Linked DNA regions of Rattus norvegicus. The protein of the gene in region 4 interacts with the protein of the main gene of each other region in a biochemical or structural test. Links are inferred from orthologs where the notes say so. Each region holds a gene or a part of one and is shown on either strand. Other genes may lie near its edges.

The links.
Region 1: the proteins of Htt (region 4) and Sp1 form a complex in vitro, tested with the Homo sapiens proteins (2 studies listed by BioGRID). The link is inferred for Rattus norvegicus from reciprocal best matches to the Homo sapiens genes HTT and SP1.
Region 2: the proteins of Htt (region 4) and Hip1 form a complex in vitro, tested with the Homo sapiens proteins (2 studies listed by BioGRID). The link is inferred for Rattus norvegicus from reciprocal best matches to the Homo sapiens genes HTT and HIP1.
Region 3: the proteins of Htt (region 4) and Sh3gl3 form a complex in vitro, tested with the Homo sapiens proteins (2 studies listed by BioGRID and IntAct, with this or other methods). The link is inferred for Rattus norvegicus from reciprocal best matches to the Homo sapiens genes HTT and SH3GL3.
Region 5: the proteins of Htt (region 4) and Pacsin1 form a complex in vitro, tested with the Homo sapiens proteins (2 studies listed by BioGRID and IntAct). The link is inferred for Rattus norvegicus from reciprocal best matches to the Homo sapiens genes HTT and PACSIN1.
Region 6: the proteins of Htt (region 4) and Prpf40a form a complex in vitro, tested with the Homo sapiens proteins (2 studies listed by BioGRID and IntAct, with this or other methods). The link is inferred for Rattus norvegicus from reciprocal best matches to the Homo sapiens genes HTT and PRPF40A.
Region 7: the proteins of Htt (region 4) and Hap1 form a complex in vitro, tested with the Homo sapiens proteins (4 studies listed by BioGRID). The link is inferred for Rattus norvegicus from reciprocal best matches to the Homo sapiens genes HTT and HAP1.

What each region holds. Positions count from the first base shown.
Region 1 is NC_086025.1:135,437,050-135,440,549, reverse strand, and holds part of Sp1 (transcription factor Sp1), read right to left. Parts: intron 2,160-3,500; coding exon 1,991-2,159; intron 1-1,990. UniProt on the Homo sapiens protein: Transcription factor that can activate or repress transcription in response to physiological and pathological stimuli.
Region 2 is NC_086030.1:26,768,778-26,772,746, reverse strand, and holds the start of Hip1 (huntingtin-interacting protein 1), read right to left. Parts: upstream 2,801-3,969; 5' UTR 2,693-2,800; coding exon 2,573-2,692; intron 2,567-2,572; exon of another isoform or gene 1-2,566. UniProt on the Homo sapiens protein: Plays a role in clathrin-mediated endocytosis and trafficking. Involved in regulating AMPA receptor trafficking in the central nervous system in an NMDA-dependent manner. Regulates presynaptic nerve terminal activity.
Region 3 is NC_086019.1:145,632,255-145,635,754, reverse strand, and holds part of Sh3gl3 (endophilin-A3), read right to left. Parts: intron 2,427-3,500; coding exon 2,268-2,426; intron 1-2,267. UniProt on the Homo sapiens protein: Implicated in endocytosis. May recruit other proteins to membranes with high curvature.
Region 4 is NC_086032.1:80,073,313-80,076,668, forward strand, and holds part of Htt (huntingtin), read right to left. Parts: coding exon 3,310-3,356; intron 2,438-3,309; coding exon 2,275-2,437; intron 2,091-2,274; coding exon 1,930-2,090; intron 1,017-1,929; coding exon 803-1,016; 3' UTR 1-802.
Region 5 is NC_086038.1:5,764,929-5,767,460, reverse strand, and holds part of Pacsin1 (protein kinase C and casein kinase substrate in neurons protein 1), read right to left. Parts: coding exon 2,502-2,532; intron 2,412-2,501; coding exon 2,284-2,411; intron 1,100-2,283; coding exon 912-1,099; intron 578-911; coding exon 468-577; 3' UTR 1-467. UniProt on the Homo sapiens protein: Plays a role in the reorganization of the microtubule cytoskeleton via its interaction with MAPT; this decreases microtubule stability and inhibits MAPT-induced microtubule polymerization.
Region 6 is NC_086021.1:58,050,010-58,053,509, forward strand, and holds part of Prpf40a (pre-mRNA-processing factor 40 homolog A), read right to left. Parts: intron 3,194-3,500; coding exon 3,085-3,193; intron 2,488-3,084; coding exon 2,337-2,487; intron 1,689-2,336; coding exon 1,555-1,688; intron 1-1,554.
Region 7 is NC_086028.1:85,783,704-85,787,827, forward strand, and holds the start of Hap1 (huntingtin-associated protein 1), read right to left. Parts: upstream 2,801-4,124; 5' UTR 2,779-2,800; coding exon 2,388-2,778; intron 1,449-2,387; coding exon 1,372-1,448; intron 1,046-1,371; coding exon 929-1,045; intron 817-928; coding exon 638-816; intron 493-637; coding exon 393-492; intron 288-392; coding exon 221-287; intron 1-220. UniProt on the Homo sapiens protein: Originally identified as neuronal protein that specifically associates with HTT/huntingtin and the binding is enhanced by an expanded polyglutamine repeat within HTT possibly affecting HAP1 interaction properties.

The DNA.
Region 1 (3,500 bases), on a different chromosome or scaffold from region 4:
AGGCAGAGGCAGGTGCATCTCTGAAATGAAGGCCAGCCTGGTCTTCAGAGTAAGTTCCAAAACAGCTAGGGCTACATAAAAACAAATAAGTAAACAAACAAACAAATGAATTCCCTGTCTCAAAAACCAAAAATAAACAAATGAGCCATTCCTCTAGGCCTGAATATTAAGGGTGAAAGAAAAGCATGGAAGCTCATCCTTGTAATCTCTACTACTTAGGAGACAGAAGCCAAGGCCAAGTTAGGAGATGGAGCATTACCCTGATTCCATGTAAAATAAAATAAGAAGCTTATAGAGGAATTATAATTCAGAACATGGCTGCTCTGGCAAGAGATCATATCCAAAGACCTTCTAGGTCTGTGTAATCCTAGAACTCACTATGCCACCTCCGCTGGAATACAGACAAGCCTTTAATCCTAGGAGACAGAAGCATGAAGATCTTGAGTTCTAGTCAGTTCTGTTCAGTCAGTCAGTGGAGTTCAGAAGCAGTTTTACAGGGAGAGCCCCCCCCCCCCAACCAAGTTGAAGAGAGTTATAATAAGCTACACACAGGTAAAGACAGAATGAACCAGAGAATAAAAAAAAGTCAAAAGATTAGAACAAATTGCTAGAGTTAGTTTGAGGTGAAGCAGGGAAATTAAGTAAGAAGCCAGTTTGAATCAGTCAGCTTAGAGAGGAGTTCTGAGGCAGAATAGATGGGTTGAACCAGCCAACAAGAGCTAAAAAGTGTAAGCTTACTCAGCAGTAAGTCTCAGAGACTAAAAACATTCTAGGCCTATATTAGACTGTAGGGAGGCTAGAGCCTCCCAGGCCTAAGCCTAAGTTAGACAACAATTACATCAGGTGACTAAAAATTATGTTTATGGGAACTGGACGTGGTCTCACACCTTTAATCCAAGCACTGGAAGTCTCTTCGAATTCAAGGACAGTCTGATTTGCATAGTGAGTTCCAGACTAATTAGGTCTACATAAACAGACCCTGTCTCAAAAATGAACAAACAATAAAAATGAAATAGAGGGGCTGGGGATTTAGCTCAGTGGTAGAGCGCTTACCTAGGAAGCGCAAGGCCCTGGGTTCGGTCCCCAGCTCCGAAAAAAAGAACCAAAAAAAAAAAAAAAAAAGAAATAGAATAAAAGTTGCTGAGTTTGGCAGACCACGTCTATTAATCCCTGCCCCTACCCTAAACTCTTCCAGTTTATAACCTTCCCTCCCTCCCTAAGCTTATCCTTCCCATACAACCTTGCCATCTAGACAAGTGTTCTCGTCTCTCGTTTTTTATCTTTCTGTCTCATTTTCTACCCTGTTCTGTCTCCTGTTATGGCCAGGTCGAATCTACTGGTTATTATTTAGTCTATTACTTTCTCTCCTTGCTCTGAACTCTTCAGTGCCTCTGGCTATACTCCACCTCATATCTACAATGAAAACCTTCCCCTCAACCACAGCTTGGAACGGTCATGTCCTCAACTTTATATATCTGGTGCTCAACCCCTCACTTTATATACTCCCTATCTGGGGTTAAACAGACACATGTATGTGTTACACAGGAAAAGTCTGTCACATGACATGTGATTACAGACATGTATGACCACAACTGCTTTATGCAGTGCTGGGATTCAAACTCAGGACTTCATAAATACTAGGAAAACCCTTTACCAACTGAGCTACACACTCAACCTCTCCTATATCTTTTTATAAAAAACCTTATTTATTTTGTGTATGTGAGTACAACACTGTCGCTCTCTTCAGTCACACCAGAAGAAGATATGGGATCCCATTACAGATGGTTGTGAGCCATCATGTGGTTGCTGGGAACTTAACTCAGGACCTCTGGAAGAGCAGTTGGTGCTCTTAACCACTGAGCCATCGCTCCAGCCCACTCCCTATGTCTTAAATAATAAAATTATACACTTTCCCTCATATTTCTATGTTCATTGTTTGTTTATTTCTATAAAAAAAAGAAAAATTCTATATTCAATAAGATGAGCTCACCTCCCCTCACTGTCTTTACAATAGGGGCATGTACATGCTTCCCGCCGAGTCCTGCGACCAGCTTGGGGTTGGGGATCAGGGCTGTTCTCTCCTTCTTCTCCACCTGCTGTCTCATCATGTATTCCATCACCGCCAGGTCCATGAAGGCCAAGTTGAGCTCCATGATCACCTGAAATAAAAAGGAGAAAGGTGGCAATGGGTAGGACAAAACAGTTATAGAAATCTCATGACAGAGCCAGGTGATGGTAGCACATGCCAGTAATCTTAACTCTTGCAAGGCAGAGGCAGGTGGACCTCTCATGAATTTAAGGCCAGGTTGATCTACAGAGGGAGTTCTAGGACAGTGAGGGGTACACAAAGAAACCCTGTCTCAAATAACCAAATAAATAAACAAATAAAATTAAAATAGAGAAAAAAAATCTCACTGGTACATCACACTCATAGCACCATCCCTTTTCTTTTTACATTTTTTTTTCTTTTTTCTTTTCTTTTCTTTTTTTTTTTTTTTTCGGAGCTGGGGACCGAACCCAGGGCCTTGCACTTCCTAGGCAAGCGCTCTACCACTGAGCTAAATCCCCAGCCCCTCTTTTTACACTTTTTTTCCCCACCCCCTCTTTTTACACTTTTAATTACAGTTGATTCTTCCATGAGTGGTGTGTGTAGGATGCTTGTCTAAGCCAGAGGAAAACTGTTGGCAATCAGTTCTCTTTCTACCACATGGGTTCCAGGAACCAATCACAGGCTGTCAGCCTTGACAGGAAGTATCTTTACCTGCTGAGCCATCTAACCAGCCCATGACACACCGTTCTGTCAAGACTCGTCTTTCTATTTTAATCTGACATAAGGTCTTGCTATATTTGCCCAGAATGACCTTGAACTCTGAGGTTCAAGCAATTCTCTGGCTTCAACCTCCCAAATAAGTACCCGAGGGACTGCCAAGGGGCTACAGGTTTAAGTTTACATAGTAGTTCCAGGATAACCTTGGCTAAACAGTAAGACCCATGCCAAACAGAAGCCAACATGACATCACTATCATACTGGAATCTGTTCTCCACCCCTTTTAAATAAGAGTTTTAGAAAAGAACAGTTTAATCTTAAAACATGGTACCAGTTAAGCAGTGAGATAAATTAAAGACTGGCCTTCCTGTGATGAAAGTAACTAGGAAACCAGAGGCACAGTGTAATGACAGTCTTGGCCAAATCCAACAGTTGCCTCTAGCATCAATTTCTGAACCAACTATGGCTGTTAAAGATATTCTCAATGGCTTCTAAGTAAACAAGTGTGGCTAAAGCCAAGCCTTCCAAGATCACGAAGAGTCAAAACCTTATTCTCTGTGGAGACCCCGGGAATCACTAAAGTATGATGAAATGAAAACGTCAAGAACTGTAACACAAAAACAAAACATCATTCTAGAACTGATCTCCGTGCCTCCACACAGTAGGCGAGTATTCTACCATTCAAGAAGTTAATTTCTATATAGTTCTAAAAACTCCAATTAGGCATCTGGGC
Region 2 (3,969 bases), on a different chromosome or scaffold from region 4:
AGGGTCTCCCTATGTATAGGCATGGTTAGCCTGGAATCTGCTATGGAGACCACACTGGCAAGGATCCTCCTGCCTCTGCCTCCTGAGTGCTGGGATTGTCAAAGTGTCCCACCATGCCTGCCAGCTTGAGAGAATTTCAACAACTCAGTTGGATTGTGCTGCCTCATGCCAGTAATCTGAGCACTAGGGAGGCCAAGGCAGGGAGATGAAAGTTTGAGGGCCAGCCTGGTCTACATAGCTGAGTTCCAGGCTAGCCTGAGCAACACAGTAAGATCCTCACTCAAATAAAACAAAAGCAACAATAACAAAACAAACAAAAAATTAAAAAAAAAAAAACCCTCAGCACTTGGGAGGCAGAGGCAGGCAGACCATTGTGAGTCTGAGGCTAGCCTGATCTACAAAGTGAGTTCCGGGTCAGCCAGAGCTGTTATACAGAGAAACCCTATCTGTAAAAATCAAAAAGAAAAGAAAAAAAGGGGAGGGAGGAGTTTCCATAACTGAAAAACTCTGCTGTAGTATATCTCAATGCGTGTGCACACATGCACACACACACACACACACACACACACACACACACACCAAATCTGACTAATAACAAGTGTTCTACGAAGGTAAAATTAGACACTGACCTACCAGTCTTCCTGTTGAGTATTCCCTGGGTAACTAGGAAAAATGTTAGTTGTGGCTGGAAACATTTCAAATGCCTAATTTCTTTCTTTTTTTTTTTTTCTTTTCTTTTTTTTTCGGGGCTGGGGATTGAACCCAGGACCTTGTGCTTCCTAGGCAAGCGCTCTACCACTGAGCCAAATCCCCAACCCCTCAAATGCCTAATTTCTATCACTGTCTATTAATTTCAAACTTTCAAAAACACTCTTAATGTAATTTTGGGTGTGTGTGTATGGAGGGGTGTTCATGGCGCAGCTCAAAACTGAAGTCAGAGGGCAACATGGCTCCTTCCCTGGCATGAAACGCAGGTGGCCCCTTAGCCAGCTCCACTGGGCCTAAGCTCAAACTTTTGTTTTGTTTTGTCTTTGTTTTTTTGGAGCTGACGACTGAACCCAGGGCCTTGCGCTTGCTAGGCAAGCGCTCTACCACTGAGCTAAATCCCCAACCCCAAGCTCAAACTTTTATGTCTAACTTACTGCTCCAGTTTTAAGCTATCAGAGATTCTCAGACGGTTGGATGTCACAAAATAGCTCCGGCTTATTTTCCTCTTTCAGTTTAAAAATAAAAGAGGTTTGTAGCGGGGAGAAGATGAAAACTTTCTTTTTCCTTTTGGCAGCAATGCCCAAAGTTCAGAAGATCTGAGAAATTAAAAAAGTTCCAAAAACCCTTAGACATTGAGAGGTAAGTGAATGCCGGTTCTCCTCCTCCCCGGGTACAACTACCCCTTTTTTCCCCCAGACACAAGAAGTGGATCCAGGGGTCTCAGAAACAAGAGGTGGATTAAAGTCCCCTGGGGTGAAAAGGCTGTCTTCCGTGCACCGTCCATTTATAGAACTCACGGGCTCTCCTATCTCTTCCACCTTTTCTACTCACAGAACACCACAGGGGAGCTGCCTCTGGCTGAAGTCAACTCGATCTTCAAAGTAGAACTTGGAGAGCCAGAGGAGAACAAGAAATCTACGGGCCCAGCTTCCGCAGTGGGATCCGAAGGGTTGTACTCTCAGATTTTACATACAGATGAATTGGTAACTACACACCCAGCGCCTCACTACTTGACTCGGTCCGATCGATACAGCATGCATAAAAGCTTGAGATAAAAGTGGATAGTGGCTTTTTGTTGATAACCGCGGTGGAATTTTGGCCATCTGCCCTGGTCAGACCAGACAAGGCAGGCGGTCTGCTTAGTAGCTGTCAGGCATATTTTGGAGGGTGAAAGGAAAACCGCAAATCAGGATTCTATGTATCACTGGAGAGCTTAACCCGACACGCGAGGGTCTGACAGTCCAAGCGTCGCAATTCCTACACGCGTCCCCATTTCTCCAAACCCCCGGGGGTCATTTTCCAAGTTGGACCACACTTCACATTTCCTACGGTCCCTCCCATCACTCAGACCCCTTTGGCGCAGCCTCTGAGGCCAACAGCTGGGGCTGCTGAGAGCCAAGTTAGAGGCACCGTTGAACGAGATGCTGGGGAATGAAGGAAGAAGTCAATACTAAAGTAAAGCGATCAGAGCCACCCTTTACACCTCTACGTTGGTGTCCCCACACTTGCAAAAACCGAGTGACTTCCAAGTGCTTCCCCTACCCAGGAGCACCCCTTCCATCAGTCCCTTTTCGACTCCCTTTGGCCTCCCTTGTGACCTCTGATGGTGCTCGCCGAGGCTATTCTCTCAGTTGCAGGAATCTGCAGTTCCCCGGAGTACACCCCGACCCCCGTGCCAGTAGGGATGCCCAGGTCCCGGACCTCCCTGGGACCCGCCTAGTTCCGCACCCCAAAATGATTCTGATCGCAGCCACCTTGCCTAATTCCCTCCCGGGACTGCAAGACTCACTCCGTTCCAAGCCTCTCTAGCACCCTGCATCACTCCAGGTGCCCCCAGGGATGCCCCAGGGTTCTCGAATCTCACCTGAGTCCGCTCGAAGCTCTCGCGCTCCGCAGCCTCCATCCCAGCACCAACCCCGCGCCGGCTCAACACTTTGGGCAGCGGGTTGGGTACCTGCTTCATGGAGCTGGCCATCCGGTCCATGTTGTCTGGGTGAACAGAGTCAGGGGCCCTCGGCCGCCCCGGGATCCCCGCGGCGCCTCCCGCCCCTCCCTACCCGCGGGGATCCGGCGCTAACGGGGACAGATTACGTCTTCCATTGGTTGACAGCGCTGTCCATCTCCCTCAGGACCCACCCCATCTCTCCAAGAGGCTTTTCCCCACATCCCTTTTCCCACTTCGGAGGCGCTCCGCTCACTTCACCGGCTGGCCCGCCTCAGAGCGGTCGGCATGCTATGACTGGTCTGAAGGTTTGTCCGTTAACTTCTGTGGGCAGGACCTGGTGGGCTCTTGCTCCCTCCCCGAGGCTCCGCCCCATGATCGATACACCGCCTTCCAGGCCTAGAAATGCACTGTCATTGGTCTGAAGAGTTATCTGTCAACACAGCAGGGCTGGCTTCGTGAGCTGCCCTCACCATTTTTTTGCTGCTCCACCCTACATCCGTCACTCCTCCTTTGTTCCCACCCTACAGGACCAAAAGAGCACCATGATTGCTCTGAAGGCTTGTCCGTCATCTTAATGGGGCAGGGCCTGGCTGCTACAGACCAGCCCTTGAGACTCCACCCTATCTCGAAGCGCCACCTCCTGGGCCCTTCTCTGCTGCGGGTTGCTGAGCTCGAAGAGCTGCCGTCCAGCCGGCGCCACGAGTTCCCGAGGGGGACGGAAAGGCAGATCAAGGGAAGCATGGCTGCACCGCTTTCACCAGGCTTGCCGGGGAACTCCGCATCAGTGTGGTCCGGCGATGGCGGCCTTAGTGGCTCTCGAAGTCTCCTCCCCGTGCATTCCTATCTGCCAGTTCTGGAGGATCGCCGACCCGGGTCCCCAAGTACTGGACTTTGACTGCGGGTATCTCCCCAGAGCTTTCCCTTACCTTGGTAGAAACCCCAACAGATGCTCCTTGTTTATCTATAGCAGGGTCCACTCCTCCCATCCTGTTCTGGGAGCATCTACAGACTGGGACGTGTGCTCCTCAGCAAAGAAAATGTTACACGTTCTCTACTAACAGAACCAGTGGCACCGTTAAGAATTTAAAAAAATTGATGATGCTATTCATCTATCTGTTCAAGAACCCAGTACACGTCTCACTTGTACTAGGCAATGTTTTGATTAATGAATGACAGCATCAAACTCATTATATAGCCGAGTCCCTCGAATCTCCGTGGACCACGATGCTTGGCTTTTGTTAATGTGTGTGAATTATGTACCTGTGTGTATGTGTGGGACTGTGCTCACGCGGCAGTGCACCTGTGGAGGTCAGAAA
Region 3 (3,500 bases), on a different chromosome or scaffold from region 4:
ACAGGGTGCTCACAGCCTTTGTAACTCTGACATCAGGGGATCTGCTGCCCTCTTCGTCCACAGGCAGCGCTCTCACATGGTGAGCGTCCATCCACACGGACAAGTATCCATGCACACAACTGGTATTTTTAAGCTCATGTTATAGCTTATCCAGGACAGTGGGAGACAAGGGTTAGAGTCAGTGAGTCCATCCAAGTCCTGGAGGGTGAGATTTCAGGCTTTGAATTCCTGGTGCCACAGAAGCATAAGCAGGAAGTAACCAAGGATAGAGCACAGCATCTCAGATCCTTCTTAGCCACTTTCCTCTGTTTACCCATTTCCTTGGAATGGATGCTTACAAGTCCCAATTCCATTCCCTCCTTGTGTGGATGAGACTGGAGCCTGTCCTTAACATATGCCTTACTCTGCCTATAACTGCTTCTCGTGGTCAGTAGCCCCGTGAGGGATGCTCACTCAGTGTCAGCATCTTTTATGCTATTCTGGTGGAGCCACGCTGGCTCTACATTGAGAGGCCGGCATCCATCAACTGCGGTGGTAGAGAGGAGGAAGTAAAATTTTGAGACTTTGACCCTGGGCCATACCGCCAACACAGTTGATCAAAAGATCAATAATCACACTTATGAAGGCTCACACCAGATACCTGACTCCTTTGTCAACTTCTCAATTAGACAGAACCCAAACCAGTGTCTGCTGTGGCTGAGTTCCCCAAATCTCCCCCCAACAATGACAAAGCATCTCCCACGTGTGTTTGGAGGACGCCATGATCCTTCTGCTCTCTGCTAGCATGTTCTCCTGGAAGCCTTTCTGTAACAGCCCGTTCACCAGTTTCCAATAGGAGCAGTGTCGAGTGTGTCCCAGTGTGAACATAGAATGCCCTCCAAGGGTCACACTGAGGGTTTGATCCAGAGATCATGGCAATATTTTATCACTTCTGGAACTTTAAAAGATAAAACCTAGCTTAAAGTAAAGGGATACAGGGGAGAGTAAGGCTGTTCTCTCCCTCTCCCTCTCCCCCTCTCTCCTTCTCTCCCTCTCTTCCTCTCCCTCCCCCTCTCCCTCTCTCTCTTTGCCCCCCTCTCTCTGTCTCTCTCCCTCTCTCTCCCCATGTTCCTCTCTCTCTGTCTCTCTCCCTCTCTCTCCCCCTCCCTCTCTGCCCCGACCCTGTATCTCCTTTCTGCCAGTCTAAGGGCAGCATCTGCCCCACCATGATGCTCCATGGCAACATAATGGACACAGTGAAGCCAGCTAGTGTGGTCTGAGACCTCCAGCCCCTGAGGCAAAGCTCACCTTCCTCCTTTTAAGTTGTTCTCTCAGGTCTGTTCCAGGACACTAAAGTCCAGCCAATTCTGGGTCTAAGCACTGCCAAATCCATCAGGCAGTGTCCCAGCTTGCAGACCTACTATGTTTAACAAGAATTAAAGGGATCCAATCATATTTACCCAGAACCACAATGATATCCTAGAGGAAAACCCAACCATCATCAACCACTCTGAAGCATAGCTCCCAGCCATGAAAGGAAGCAGGAACAGCCATACAGGCCAAGTGACCAAGGGTGGACATGAAGTTGGTGACCAAGAGGTATCAGAACTCTGAAGTATAGCCATGGCCTTGGCTTCATGGAGGCAGGGGCTGGGGGAGATGGATGAGAGCCAAGGTAAGAGCTTAAAAGACACACCCAACAATGTTCAGCGAGGGTTGTCAGCTCTTCTCCCCTCCCACCAGATCACCTCAGTTTGTTCTGCCAGTGGTGAGCAATGCTGCCATTAGCCTATGAGGCACCAAGGGTCGCTGGAGGAGAACGCCAGGCCACAAGGACATAGAAAACCCCAGGGAGACCCCTTCCAAGTCTGGCTGCTGTCACCCCCAAAAGAGAAGAAAGATGACCTGTTCTATGGCACAGGGACCAGTGTGTCTCCTCAGCTAACCCAATAAACAGTGACACAGATCTTCACCCCAGCGCATGCTGTTCAAACTTGGCAAGCCTACAGCTCCAAACCACATGCTGTGGCCTTTAACACAGAGACTGCTCTCCTGGGCCATCTTCCGCTACAAGGCCACCTCAGAGACAAGCAGCCCCGCCAAGGACTGAAGCTTCAGTCTGGGATTGCTGACCACTATATGTAAGGCAGGAAGCCACAGTTACAGAACGTTCTAGAAACGTCCATTAACAATTCAGGTTTGAGAACACCACCGCACAGCAGTCATGCTCATGTGCTGTGTTTTTTACTCGTGGGCATTCAAGTCTTCTGTGTGGTTTAAATACTTACGTCATTTTCTAAAAAATTAAACATGCTTCTTTCGGCCAACTCCTTTGACTCTTCAAACTTTTCTACTGCTTGTCTGATTTCTTCCTCGGGGATCTTACCCACCCGCTTCTTTTTATAATCATAGTCCAGACGGCGGCCTTCTAGCTTTCTCAGGTGGTGCTGAAGAGAGAAAGGAAGTCCTCACTAAATGTTGGCATTCACACCTCGATGATGAGACTCACTCTAGACTGTGATTCACACCATGATGAGAGTCACACTGTGATGAAACTCAAAAACTGTGGTGTGATTTACACCACAGTGTGACTCACTCTGAGATGAGACTCACACCACGGTGTGTGCTCAAAGCACACATGGTCTTCTTTATGACTATGAAAATTCTCATTCCTTTTTCTCGGCCTAAGTCCTACCTGTTGCTGTTTCAGACTTCCATGCATACGTAGGTATTTTAATCTGAGTCTGCCCCATTCTCTCTCCTTTACCTCCTCCCCTCCTCCCCCACCAGCATCACTTTCCCTTCCTAACTTCGTGTGTGCTTTCTTTCCAGTCCACGGAGGAGGCCACTTTGCCAGTTGCACAAGGACACAGAGCCGTCTGCTGGAGCACCCCTCAAGAAAACCGACCCCTCCTCCCCTGGAGGCTATTGGCCAGTCCTCAGCCAGGGACATTGTGAGCGTTGGCCCCACCCACTCTTCATCCTCTGCTCTGCACCAAGGCTGCCCACACTGCCAAGCTTTCAGAGCATTTACGGATGGACACATGATGGACAGAGCAGTGGGAATCCATCGCCACAGGATTCCCTTCCCCAATTCTTTAACGTACACAATGTCTAATCACAATGTCTAACACAATGTCTAATTCTACAAAAATTAAGAATACTTCCATTGTCAATTCCTCCCTAAAAAGGTGACTCCAAAGTAATAATGATGATGATGATGATGATGATGATTATGATGATGATGATGATGACGATGATGCATGTCTAAAGGAGCCCAACAAGAGAAAGAGATGGACAGCCATGCTCAGGACCCACAAGCACAGGAGGAGTGCCTTAGAGTCTGGAGAAGAAAGAGAACTTCCCACGGGAAATAACATCTATGGTGAGATCAGAGACACTGGTGAGAAGAAAGCAATGACCATCAATGAAAAACGAACCGTCACCTGAGGACAGGAGGTGCCTGCTGGAGGTTAGGCAGTGGTTAGACAGGGAAGGGGGAGCCAGAAGACCACAGAGGC
Region 4 (3,356 bases):
GGATTCTCACATAGGGCAGTTAACACCAACACCACTCTGTGCTAGTCAAATGGAATGCATAAGAAAAAGGAGCCGTGTGAAGTGCAAGTGCCATAGGGTGTTGGGAGGGCTACATGAGGGACCTGCCCGACTAGACTGAGTAGCTACAGGAGAGAGAGTGGTGGCCAGAAGGCGCATCCACTTCCATAAACTTTGTCACATGCAGCACAGGCCTTGCCAAGTCACACACTTTACACGGGCATAGGAAGAGTTACATTAAAATTAATCTCTTTACTGATATAATTAAATTTTAACTCCTGAGAAGAAAACAGAGAAAGGGAAAATGATGCTGGACACCTGGCAGTCCCAGTTCCCAGCCCCCACACCATTCACTTTGTGTCCAGACACTGGTGTGGCAGGTACACCTGCTGGGTAAATGTGGGAGGGAGCTCTCCAGCCCAGTGGGACAGGGGGGCTCAGAACCATCTTACAAGAGCTCGGATTCTGTTCCACATACCAGGGCAGCTGCAACCTGGCAACTATGGCCAGGGCAACACTAAGAAAAAGACAAACACCTGGTCAACCTAGCACTGCCACCAGCTGCAGTGATGCCAGGACCCAGGACTCAGGCTCAACCCCAACATAGTGCATGTTCCCTGCATAGCTCTCATTGCAAAGCACTCCTGCCATTGCCTGGCTGTCCACTTGACACAAGTGGAAGCCTGCACGTCCAAGGCAGCCTTAGCAGAAGCTTGGTGCAGGCCCCTGGAGGCTGTAGCCACAGCAGTTGCCTCCTCTCAGCCTCTTGTTCCACAGGTACTACTCAGCAGGCGGTGACCTTGTGAACATTTTGCAAACAAGCAAGCAGCCTGTGGTATGGACTTCCTGGTGCTGCCACCACCTCAAACACAGACTGGAAAGCCCTGCGGTCGAATTCCTCCTCTATCTGGTGTCTGTAGAAGTCTGTGGCAACCAGGCAGAAAAGGTTCACATCCACCTGCTCCAGTTTGCCCATCCTGCTGATGACGTGTGGAAGGCTGGTAGAACAGTTAAGGGGGAATGATGGCAAGGGTGGGAAGACAGCCTCCCCAAGCGGTTCCCTCCCTAAGTCCACCAGGAAGACTGGGCAACCAAAATAGAGGGCAGCCTAGACCACATTAGCACAGCACCTGCTTGTAATCCTCTGCCAGCTACAGCTTGCTGTCTGCCCAGGAGAGTAGGGATGGGTAGGCCCAGGGGCCCAGAGGCCCAGGAAGTGGGAGCCCTGCAGTGCAGACAGGGTGCTGGTTCCCAGTGCTCTGCGCAACAGCACTTACCTGGGCTGTGCTCCCCACACAGTGTTAGTGGCTGGTGTTCCGCTCACACTGCTCCAGTGCAGGGAGGGCAGAGCTAGCACCCTGCCTGCAAGGCTTTCCCAGTACTTAGGGTGAGGCTGTACTGTCACCACCAAGACAACTTTGCTGCTCAGTAACTCCTGTTCTACTGTGGAGAAGGCTGCCAAAAGAGGAACTCCTGGCATCACTGTTAGGGCGGGAACTGCAGCTTTACTTACGGCTTTCCCCAGGAGGGTGACCGCAGTGTAAAGATGAGAGCTAATGAAAAGCAGCATTGAGAAAACCTCAGAGGGATAAAGCATGCCAGACGCTGGGGCAGCCGCAGGGCCAGCAGCGGCCTGAGCTGCCCTGCCTCCCTTTGGGCTCCTCTCTTCTCCCTCAGCAGTAGTACTCCTGCCACAAACCCACCCGTTGGCAGCCCTGGCTGGCAAATGGCTAGACCTTCTGTTTCATGTCCCCATCAGTGTTTTAGGGGAGGGTAAGCATCCCCTTGATACCTGTGGGGTTCTTTAGAGTTTAGGCTTCAAAACACTCAGTGGAACCTGAACTGGATGCTAAGAGAATAAGGAAAGGCTGGTGGAGACTGAAACCTGGCCAAAGCCCCATGGAAGGATACATTGCAGAAACCCATGGGCTGGTAGATGCACTGACAAGGAAGCAGGAGAGGCTCCACATGGCCATGGCAACTGGAGTTCTTTGTGTGAAGTTGGACAGAGACAGCATAACCCAGTCCCGGACCATGGATGACTGCCCAGCACTGTGCAGAGTCTGAAAAACCTGGGGAGGAGAGAGCCCTGAGCACAGGGTCAGGCTGTGGGGTTGGGTGGGGACTGGGACCACAGCTGCCACCCATCTTAAAGGATGAGTCTAGCCGTGATGACAGGCCTACCATAAGTGTGGGACTGAGTCCCCCTTCATCCTCCTGCTCTGTCCTTGCTCCACAATGCAAGTACACTCTCACCTTGTATACTACAGTGGCCATGAACTGTGGGTATGGCTGCTGGTTGGACAGGAACTCTCCAATGACTTTGTTCATGACATCTTGAGGTGGAAAGAAGTCATCTAGAAACTGAGGCAGGATCCTTGCCACGACCCTGGCTTCACAGGGAAATCCCTTGCGGATCCTGAAATGAGAGGAACTGATCTGAGCCTCACCTGGTTCTTAGCCTCTCAACCCTGCCCATAGAGCCAACATGGACCAAGGCTCAGAGGCCCCTGACCCATGACCCATGACCCACAGGGATGTTCTAAGTGGGGCTCAGATCACAACTGGGGTATGAGTTTTAAAAGCCAAAGACGACATCCAGGCTGTCCTTTTGCTGCCCTGACTAATCTGGGCACAGGGTGATCTTTCCCACTCTGGGGAGAATAATGCAGTTGTGGGAAGGCCCTGTCAGGGAGCAGCAGCAACAGGTAGGTAGTGACATTACAGAAGAGACTCCACATCAAAAGGCTCTAAAGCGTCACTGTTGCATGTCCTAATATCCAGGGTGCTATTGTCAATCAGGAGCTTTTCTTCCCTTCAAACACAGACTCCCATTGACGCTCCTACTGACTCTTGTCTCAACATCCAACACTTCCACCTTTAGCAGCATCCTTAAAGACAGCTGACCTGTGACTAATGCCACACCACCGTGGTATACGGCCAAGAAGTACACAAGTGACTCTGACACTCAACCGTGTCTCCTTCCAGTGGATATGGGCTGAGCCCCACCATAGCACTTGGCTACACTCCGGGAGTATCTATTTCCTCATCCCTGCCTGTGGGATCCCCCAGGGCAGTGGCTTGGTTGTACCCCTGCATGGGTCCAGTTGTCCCTGAGTCTGGCTTGCAGGTGGTACTCTGAATATGCATGCATTGGGAAAACGGCTGCAAAGATGCAATTTAAAGTTCAAGAGAATGAACAAATACACGTGGAAGGAACTGCTCTGGCTGTGGCTCCAGGGCAGTCAATGACTACTGAGGATAAAGGTCAGGTGTTGCTGCATTTCTTACCTGTCAAAGAGCACAGACACTCGCTCCATAGCTACAATCACAGACTC
Region 5 (2,532 bases), on a different chromosome or scaffold from region 4:
TGGGAGGAAAAGAGCACCCCCAGGGCAGAGTGGAAGACTAAAGATTGGGGGCCCTTTAAGAGAAGGCGGGATTGAAGGAGAGTTTAGGAAGCCAGGCTCAGGTGACAAGGGTAGCTGCTGGCAGCTGGGGTGGGACAGGAGAGCGAGACAGGGTAGAAGGATCCAGAAGATCTCCCTCAAGACTCAGGAGACTCTTTGGTGGACTCTGTAGACCAGATGTGACATTGGGTTAAGTCCCAAGATCCTTGCCCACGCTGGGGAGGGGGCCATCATCCTAAGCCCCACTCCCCTGGCCTCCAGGTAGGCTGCAAACGCTGTCTCTTCATATTTCTTCTTTTTTTGTTCTGTTTTGACTTTTAAAAAAATAAAAGCTTGATCGGAAAATATGTCTGGAACTCTATGGCGAGGGGAGGGGAAGGGCAGAAGGCGGTGGACAAGGAGTGAGAGGAGGCGGGTGGGCAAAGTAGCTATATAGCCTCAACGTAGTTGGCAGGATAGAGGCCCAGCTGCCCGCTGTCCAGCCGCCCGCGGCACCAACCCTGTTCGTCCTCCTCTCCGAGCTTGGTGAGCTCGTCTCCTGGGGAGGGAGACACAGGGACACCTTGTTAATGCATGGCTCTGCCCCAGTACTCCATCCCATCTACCTGGGCTTCAACTCGGGGCTACAGTCCCATTCAACATTCAAGTGCTGGCCCCTGTTCACTCAGTCAGCACCTCACAGGGTTTCAGCCCACCATGCTCAGGCCTCTGCCCTGGCCCCTTGAAAGACTGTCTTCAAGTCAGACCCTTGCACTACCCAGCTCAGGTCAGGGCTCTCCCTCAGCCCCTGCACTCCTTCTACATCCAATCTAAGCCCAGTCTTCTCTCCCTAGTCCTCCAGCCCCACCCCACCCTCAGCCAAGCCCCCATACCGGCCTTGAAGCTGAGCTCATCCTGCTCCTGACCGTCGTAGTCATAGAGTGCCCGTACACGAACTCCCTTGGCATCGTCCTCGAAGGGGTTGGCGCCACCATTGGTCTCGTTCCCCCCAAAGGGGTTTCCGCTCTCATCGTCTGACCACTCGGTGGCATACGCTTGGCCTCGGTCATAGCTGCTGACACTTAGGTGCAAATGGGGACCTCTATCAGCGGATTTGAGGCCACCCCCATTCATATCAACATTCCCTCCTAACCAGAGCTGGGGGTCCAGATTCTACAAGGCTGGAGCTGAAGTCGGATACACAGGGCAGGGTCCCAGCCAGTGAGCCTCGGACAGCTTGAACAGTTTGCATTAGGATTTCGGCTCGCGCGAAGGAGGACCCAAGGACTGATCCTGTGAGAGACGCTACCCCTACGTGGACGAGACAGCTTTGCCTGGTTCTGAGATGTCTAGACATGCTGCCTAGTCTCTCTGGACTTAAGCTTCTCTATCCATTCTCAGACTGGCCGGAGGCTTGAATTCATTAATATAAGGAGGGCTGTACTGGCTGGTTCTGTGTGTCAATTTGACACACGCTGGAGTTATCACAGAGAAAGGAGCCTCCCTTGAGGAAATGCCTCCATGAGACCCAGCTGTAAGGCATTTTCTCAATAAGTGATTAAGTGGGGAGGGCCCAGCTCCTTGTGATGGTGCCATCCCTGGGCTGGTGGTCCTGGGTTCTATAAGAAAGCAAGCTGAGCAAGCCAGGGGAAGCAAGCCAGGAAGTAACATCCCTCCATGGCCTCTACATCAGCTCCTGCCTCCTGACCTGCTTGAGTTCCAGTCCTGACTTCCTTTGGTGATGAACAGCAATGTGGAAGTGTAAGCTGAATAAACCCTTTCCTCGGGGGCTGGGGATTTAGCTCAGTGGTAGAGCGCTTACCTAGGAAGCGCAAGGCCCTGGGTTCGGTCCCCAGCTCCGAAAAAAAGAACCAAAAAAAAAACAACAACAACAAAAAAAAAAACCCTTTCCTCCCCAACTTACTTCTTGGTCATGGTGTTTGTGCAGGAACAGAAACCCTGACTAAGACAAGGGTGCTCAGAGTACTGTGTGACTCACAGCAGGTGTCTTGAAGGGTTACCCACCTGTTTTTCAGAGGACACATAGTAGCTATGGTCTGGGGTCATTTCTTGTCTTCTTGGATAAAATGTATCTAGCCCAGTGTGTGGGGTGTGGGTCTCTCTCTCTCTCTCTCTCTCTCTCTCTCTCTCTCTCTCTCTCTCTCTCCCCCTCTCTCTCCCCCTCTCCCTCTCCCTCTCCCTCTCCCTCTCCCTCTCCCTCTCCCTCTCCCTCTCCTTCCCAGGAGCTCCATGGGAGGTACTCACCTGCCACGGTCCCCAGCCTGGGATGTAGATTCTACAGCCCCAGTGGCATTGCTCAGGGCGGCCCCCTCTGCCTTCTTAGGCTGTTTCTCCTTCTTGGCAGCGGTGTGGGGGAGGTCTGGGTTCCACTCCTGGAGGTGGAGGGAAGTCAGGCTGAGGGGTCTGAACTGACAGTCCCTTCCTAGGATCCCACTTTACCACCCCACCCTGCGCCTCCTCACCTCGAACTGCGGCCAGTTCATGGGCATCCCG
Region 6 (3,500 bases), on a different chromosome or scaffold from region 4:
TATCTATTTTATTTGTTATTTTATGTCTACTTCAAATTTAAACTATTGTAAACTTTAAACCTTAAAACAGTCTTGAAGCTTACAAGCTGCAAAAGTCTAAGAGCTCTCCTAAAAAACATTTTTTGCCACATAGTTACAAATAGTTGATTATCTTAAAACTAGGGATAGCCTATTTTATAGCTAGCTATGAAAATTATAGGAACATAGGTAAACAGAATGTCTACTTTCATGGCTTTAATAAGACTGGTCTTTGACTGGTCATTTCCATGCTAAATGTGATCAAAGAAATGATCTTTCTCACTAATAAGGAACAATTCCAGAAATCACTGGTGTACAAAAGAGCATCAGTATTACTACATATTAAAACTTAATGTATTGACTGGATCAAATTCTTAGGAGGAGGCTTAATAATCTGTGTTCTTAGTAGTCATGAATAATCTTATGCAGAACTACTGAAAAAGTAACTTACAGAATAGTGAGTTTCACAGAACAAAAGTAAATTGCTGTTCAACAGCTGAGGGCAATAGAGTTAGTAACCACTGACATGGTAGGAATAATTGTTTTTAAAAAGTCTTTTACATGAGTCTAACACAAAAGAGATTTCAAGAACTATTGCCCTAAAGAATAACAATAGATCAAATGATAAACAACAAGCTTAAGTAAGCCACTGCAACCTTGTTGTCACCCTAACACAAAGTTTAATACACAAGACTAAAGACTGCTTGTAACCAAGACTGTATAGTTTTAAATCCTAGCTCCATGCTTAGTAGTATCTCACCAGTTCTGTTTCCTTATTTATCTGAATATATTCAACAAACATGATATATTAAGAAGTAGTTTCAAAACACAGGTTATACAAGTAAAATATCTTAGGTGAGCATTGTGGCATTTATCTGTAATCCCTGTACTTGAAAGGTGAAAAAGATCAAGAGTACAAAATTCTTTGGGCTACATAGCAAGACTGAGGACAGCCTAGGTCACCTAGGATCCTATCCCAAAGAAATAAGAGAATAAGAATTTAAACAGCAAAAATTCATTTCTTTGTAATGGGAAGAATAGCACTAGAAGCAAAAAAGGAGTCACTGACTACGGAACACAGTTTAGCTCCCATGTAAAGGGCTTAATTATGTTCCATGCCTAAATTGTACAGTACATCCTTTGAGAACCAAATATCAACTGCTACAAAGCACTCAATCACTCATCTTGTTTCCACCTAGCCCTTATGCTATTTTGCTCAGCTGAAACCTACGCTCAAGTTAAACAATGCTTGCTGCACCCAGCTATGTTCACTCTCCTCAAATGTCCAAGAACAAAAACTAAGTTATAAAAATTAAAGAGTTCAACATACTGGACCACCCGTGAAGTCTAGGTAACGAACCGGAAACAAGTATCTCAAAACTGTCTTGATCCTTCTTGACACTCAATGACTATATTACAGAACTAAGAAAAGGCATCTTTCAGGGTTGGGGATTTAGCTCAGTGGTAGAGCGCTTGCCTAGCAGGTGCAAGGCCCTGGGTTCGGTCCCCAGCTCCGGGGGGGCATCTTTCTATTACCTGAAAAGATTCCCTATTTTTACGCTGCCTCCTCCTTTCTCTCAACAAAGTCTTCTGTTTTTCTTCTTCTTCTTCCTTTTCTAAAGCTCGGATGTGTTCCTCAAAGCATATTAATGCATCTTCTTTATCCATGTCTATAGTATTTTTTTAATAAAAAAAGAAATATTAATAAAGAAAGCAGTTTAGTTATTTGCATTAAACTCTACAAATTTCCAATTCAGTATAAAAACACTTGTATCTGAATTCAAACATAATTATATAATGACACAAGTTATGACTTCAGGTATCACAAAGGATAAATGGAGGAGGACATGTACAAGGTATAATGAACTACTAACAGAAGCAATGTCATGCTTGACCCCCATTTTTTAAAACATCTAAGTTCAAGAGTTCTGTATGCATTTGATTATATAGCAAAGGGTGAGATTTCATGGTCAACTCCCATTTGCATGCTGGGAGTAAGTATTGTGCATGCTGTCTTAGTCACTCAGAGTTTTTAAGTGCAGCTGCCTTGCTGTGTTCAGAAGACACCAATGATCTACAAATGACTGCCTTATTACATATTTCAAGAATTATCTCTAAAATCTAAATTGAAAAAATATAAATTTAAAATTCAATTAAAAGGAACCCATTTGAAAATAAAGCTCCCCCCACCCCAAAATGGACAAATCATTGTGTATAATTGAATTAGTGACTAAATAAAAAGTCAGAGTAATTCTGATTTCATACAAAAATTGACTAACTCTTTGTGACTGGAGGGCACTACTTGTCATTGTTCTTACTCTGTAACTCTTCATCCTCTGCGAACGTTGGATTATCCATCAGATACTGCTGGGCTTCAGACCAAGTGGTAGAGTATGTAACATTAGCCATATTGTCAAGTATGTTTTTTAAGGCTTCCCAATTTCTCTTTCGTAACTGCTTTGCTTGTTCCTACAACAAATGTTTGAATACCTTTTAACATTCAAACAAGATATCTGAATTGCAATTACTTAACATTATTTTATATTCTGATAAGCTTCAAATGTTTTATATAGTTCTGCAGTATCAACACTGTTTATTTTGTTACTGTTGTTTGTGACAGAGTCCTTACTTTTACTTTTTCCATCTGTCTTTGAAGTCAAAATCCAAAACTTTGTTTTTGTGTCTGTATTACCAATATGCAGTACAGATACATTTTACAATGAGGGCTACTGAAAGCAGTCATAGCATGTAAATACCAAAGTCCTCAATGTCATTCAATTCTATTTAAAGTTTTAGTAATATCCTTTAAAAATGGATGTAAAACAATTTAACAGTGATAAATATTCAGATAAATCAGCACCCACTATGATTTAAACAATAATTACCATCTTCGAAAAGAGGGAAAAAGATTGAGTTAACTCATTTTATCTTGAACATAGCTTCCAATGAGCAGATATGATATATAACATACACTATACAAATTAAGTCAAGAAATTCTGTTATAGTTTTATTCTTTTAAAGTAAAATCCTTAAAAATGTTGAAAATACTTATGATTTTAAGAGTACCTTTTCTTTCTTTGAAAGGAAGAACAAAACGTCTTCATAGATTTCAAGACGATCACGCTCTGATATTGCATTCCAAACTTCCATCTCCCCAAACATTTGCTCAGCTTTTCTAGTGATTATGAAATCAAATGTTACTTCCTTAATGCATCAGTACAATTTTAGATCATTTTTTTCAAAGGTAGTCAATGAACACTCTCCACTGTAAGTTTAAAAATCATTACTCAGGAAAATTCCATGACAGTCAATAAAAATATCAAGAGAAGAACAAAAGTCTCTATTTTCTCTTACTTTAAGGCACCTTCTGCAGACTTTAAAAACAGATATCAGCTAATGTGGTATGTTTATTCCCTAATTAATCCCTTAAGTGGGCCTTTATATGAACTCAATTAATGACTTATGGGAGTCCCTTATAGAGC
Region 7 (4,124 bases), on a different chromosome or scaffold from region 4:
TGCTTCTCCTGACCCTCATAAACCCTGAGGGGATGAAGAGCAGGCCGGGGTTATCAGTCCTCATTGTAAAGATGAAGATTCAGAGAAGCCGAGGAATTTGGCCGTGCTAACACAGCGGCAAAGTGCCGGAGCCAGGACTGCATCTCCAGACCCCAAACCCTGAGTTCTTCCTATCAGCTCTTGGGACAGCGCCCTTTCCCCGGATTACAGTGTCACGTACAAAACTGTTCCACACACTCCAGAATGAGCATCTGTTCTTTGTCTTCCAGGTTGTCAAGGTGGGAGGCCTGGAGGAAGGGGAATAGGAAGGGGTAAGGCCGCCACCATCCCCCCCCACCCCCGCCGTCAGTCACCCTCCCCTGCCCAAGGGCACGCCCCCTCCCTGTCCTCACCTCCTCTCGAAGATGGTCGTTCTCTTCTTCCAGCAGTTTCAGCTTCTGCTTCAGGGCTTCCAGCTGTGGGCAGTGGTGCAGCGTCTCAGCCTTAGGGGGCCTGGCAAGGGGGCAATGAGAGTCAGACTGTAAGGGGTGGAGGATCCCAGTCCCCCAAGGCTTCCCCAGACGAGGCAATGCCAGCAGGCTAACTGCCCATGCCCGTTTACAAACGGACAACCGAGGCACAAAGGCAGAACACGCACGGCTTGGGGGCACCATAGGGATGGTCGTGCTGCTGATCTTGGTCCCTCTGTCCTTCTCGTTCCTCCTCTTCTCCCTCTTCCTCTTCCTCATCCTCTTCATCCTCCTCATCGTCATCGGAGTCCGAGTAGAGCTGAAGGAGATCATCTCGCAGGTTCACCTGCTTCCGGAGATGTAAAATCTAGGGCAGGAGAAAGGGGCCGCAGAAAGGTGAGCACGGAGGGGCAGAACAGGTGCTGGTTGGGGGAGGGAACAAGCCGAACCCTCCTCTTGGTCCTTAGGAGCCCAGATACCTCCTCTCTGGCTGAGCCCAGCATGGTTTCCAGCTTGTTATTCTCCTCCATCAGAACACTATTCTGTTTCACCAGGGACTGGCCGATGCGAGCGGCTGTGTTCAGGTCCCGTTCTTTCTGCAAAAGGAGAGCCAACCATTCCATACTTCTCCCAAACAGGAGGGCGAGAGCAGGGGCTAAGCCACAAGAAGAAAGTTGCCCCAGCACCCAGCCGTCCAAGTACTAAACCAAAGACTATTAACCAACTCTGGGGTCTGACTCAGTTTCTCATCCTGAGGAAAAAGATCAGCCCAGATTTGGTCCTCTGAAATCTATGTGCCTTTCAGGAAAGGGGCCCTCAAGTTGGCACCCAGGCAAGCAGAAAACAGACAAAAGCCCTAAGTCCTGTAGGGAAGAGCTAAAATGAGGGCTGGCCTGAGTGAAGAAGGCAAGGCGGTACCCACCTCTTCCAGCAAATACAACATCACTTTGATATCATCTTCGGTGATCTTCTTCCTGGGCAGTGGATTAGGACACAGCGCTGCAGGAGGAAAGGCCTGAGTGGATCAGGGAAAGGAGCCGAGGCTGCCCACAGCCCCCTACATCCCTCACAACAAAAGTGGTGAGACTGCGTTCTATCTGGCCCTAACACCCTCTTCACAGCTCCGGATCTCAGCACTCCTGCCTTCTCAGGAGGGGCCTGGGTGCTGTAAAGGCAAAACCATCCTCCAGGCTCAGGAACCAGACTTTCAAGACCCCTGGGTCTCTGGTCCCTCGAGATAAGAAGTCAGGGGAAATACTGGATTCATCATGCCTGACTCAGTCGGCAGCTTAGCCAGCTCACTGGAGACTCCTCGATCGTAACAGATGCACGTAACCCATCCTAAACCTGTTGCATGTGACAGGAGGGCCAAGTAGACTTACTTCTTCAGCACCAGAAGCGGGCACCTCAGCCTAAAATTGCCCCGCCCAGAAGAGGAGGGACAGAAGGCCAGTGCCCCGCCCACTCCTCCCGCTTCAATCCTGCTTCAGGAAAGCGCGACCCAGACCCCTCCGGCCAAGCAGTGTCAAAGGCTCCCGCCCCGCCCCCCGCTCTACCCACCCACGCTGGCTGGTCCTGCGGGCTAGCGCAGGCTCAAAGCGCACCCGGCAGCGCACCCGCAACCCCCGCCCCTCTGCTGGCACTGCGGTAGACGGGGAGGGGGCATTGAGAGTGCGCAGATCTGCCACAGCAACAGGCGCGAAGAGGGGGGCGGGGAGAGCAAGACAGCCCTAGATCTGACGCACCTACAATAATCGGGGAACCTGAGACAGAGGAAAAGATGGGGAAAGGGAAACCAAACAGGCACGGCGGACAGTGGTCTCGCAGGGGTGGTGGAAAGGTGGGACTGAGAGCCACAAGGGGGCGGGGCGCCTGAGTCGGTGGTTATTAGAGATGCCCTAATAACGCCCAGTGTGGGATCCCCGAGACTCAGTTTACCTTCCTGCAGCTCTCGAATAAACGCCGCGCGCTCAGGGCCGGACACGCCGGGCCTTCGGCCGATGTACGCGGCTGGCGTCTTCCAGATTCCCTCAGCCCTTCCAGTGCCCAGGCCAGTAGCCCGGGGACCGTAAGGCCCCTGGAATATGTAGCGGGTCCATGGTGCGTCCGAGTCGCCACGGATCCTGGACCTACAAAAGCTTCCTCCTGTCTTGGTTCGGGATCCTGATTTCTGTCCGGACCCGGTTCCCTGCGCCGGAGCAGGTTTGGGCTCTGCCGAGGGCTCCGGAGCGGGATCCGCTGCAGGCTGGGTCGTGGGGGTGCCTGTTGCTGGGTCCCCCGACCCCGTCCCGTCCCCGGCACTGCTCTGCACCTGCTCCTTCGGGCGCATCTTGACTCTGCAGTCCGCTGTCGCAGCCGAGCCTTTATAACCTGTGCTCGGAGCGGGCGCCACTGGGCTGTACCACGTGTGGCGCTAGGGGTGACCGTTGATCAATTAGTGGTGCTGAGGACTCGGGATCCTACGAGAAAGCAGCCAGTGGTGACGGAATAGGACGTAAATGAATGAAGAAGAAAGAAAGAGATGAGAGAGTGCCCAGTTTTTTCCATGGGATCGAGTTCACGATGATGGGTTTCTCTTCCCTTCCATCTTCTGAGAATGGTTCTGTCCAAAGCCGCGGCTTCCCTGGACTTGAGTAGAGGGACCCGTAGCTTCTGCCTAGAAACAACCCCCCCCTCCCAGCCCTCCCGCGCGCGCTCCCGTCACCCCAGCTTCCAGGGGCTTTCTCTGTTGTTCTACACAACATTGAATACATTCCGAGGTGACCTGAGAATCGAGGCAGTACGCCTGTGTCTTCCCAGGTGGATTAAGCGAGAAATCCAAACTCCGGTATGGCTTTCAACGTGTTGCGTGTCATCCACAGGTCCTCGAGCTCACACTCCCGCACTCGCCCCTAGACGCCTTCCATCTTACTGCGTTCACCACTCGTTCTTTTATCTCCAACCCTAATTCGCAAGGCCTATATATAGTCCAAGCATCTTCGGAGGGGATCCTACTTAAATGTTTCTCTGTGACGACTCTTCCAGACCTCCGTGTACACACACACACACACACACACACACACACACACACACACACCAAAACACCCGTTATCCCGGGGTCTGAAAGGATCAATGTCGGTCTTCACGACTTTACCTATGCTCTTCAGTTCATGGACGGTGGGCTCCCCAGAGAAATAGATGCTTTGGAAGCTTGCTCTCGGTCCTGAATGAACTGGGAGAGGGGGGTGGGAGCTAGGGAGGGCAGTAGCCATGTCTATGCTTTTAGACTGCGAGACAGGCTAAAAGGAAATGGTGACTCATGGACTCAGATCTCAAAATCGTTCTTGATGTTCTCCCTTCTCCTCCACCATCCTCCAATTGCCAATCCTATTGATTTCACCTTTTTGAAAATATTTCATTTTAATATATTTTGTATGTGGTGTACGAATGTGTCCGTGTCTGTGGGCAGAAGTCGGCGGTCAACATCAGATGTTGTCTGGCCCTTGCCATCTCGTTTTTTTGAGACAAGGTCTCTCACGGAATCTGGAGTTCAGCACTTTGACTAGACCGTCTGGCCAGGGAGCCCCCAGACACCCACTTAACTCAACCCCTGGGTTTACAGACAAGAGCCACCATACCAGACGCTCATGTGGAGACTAGGGATTCAAATACAGTCCCTTACGTTTACACAGCAGA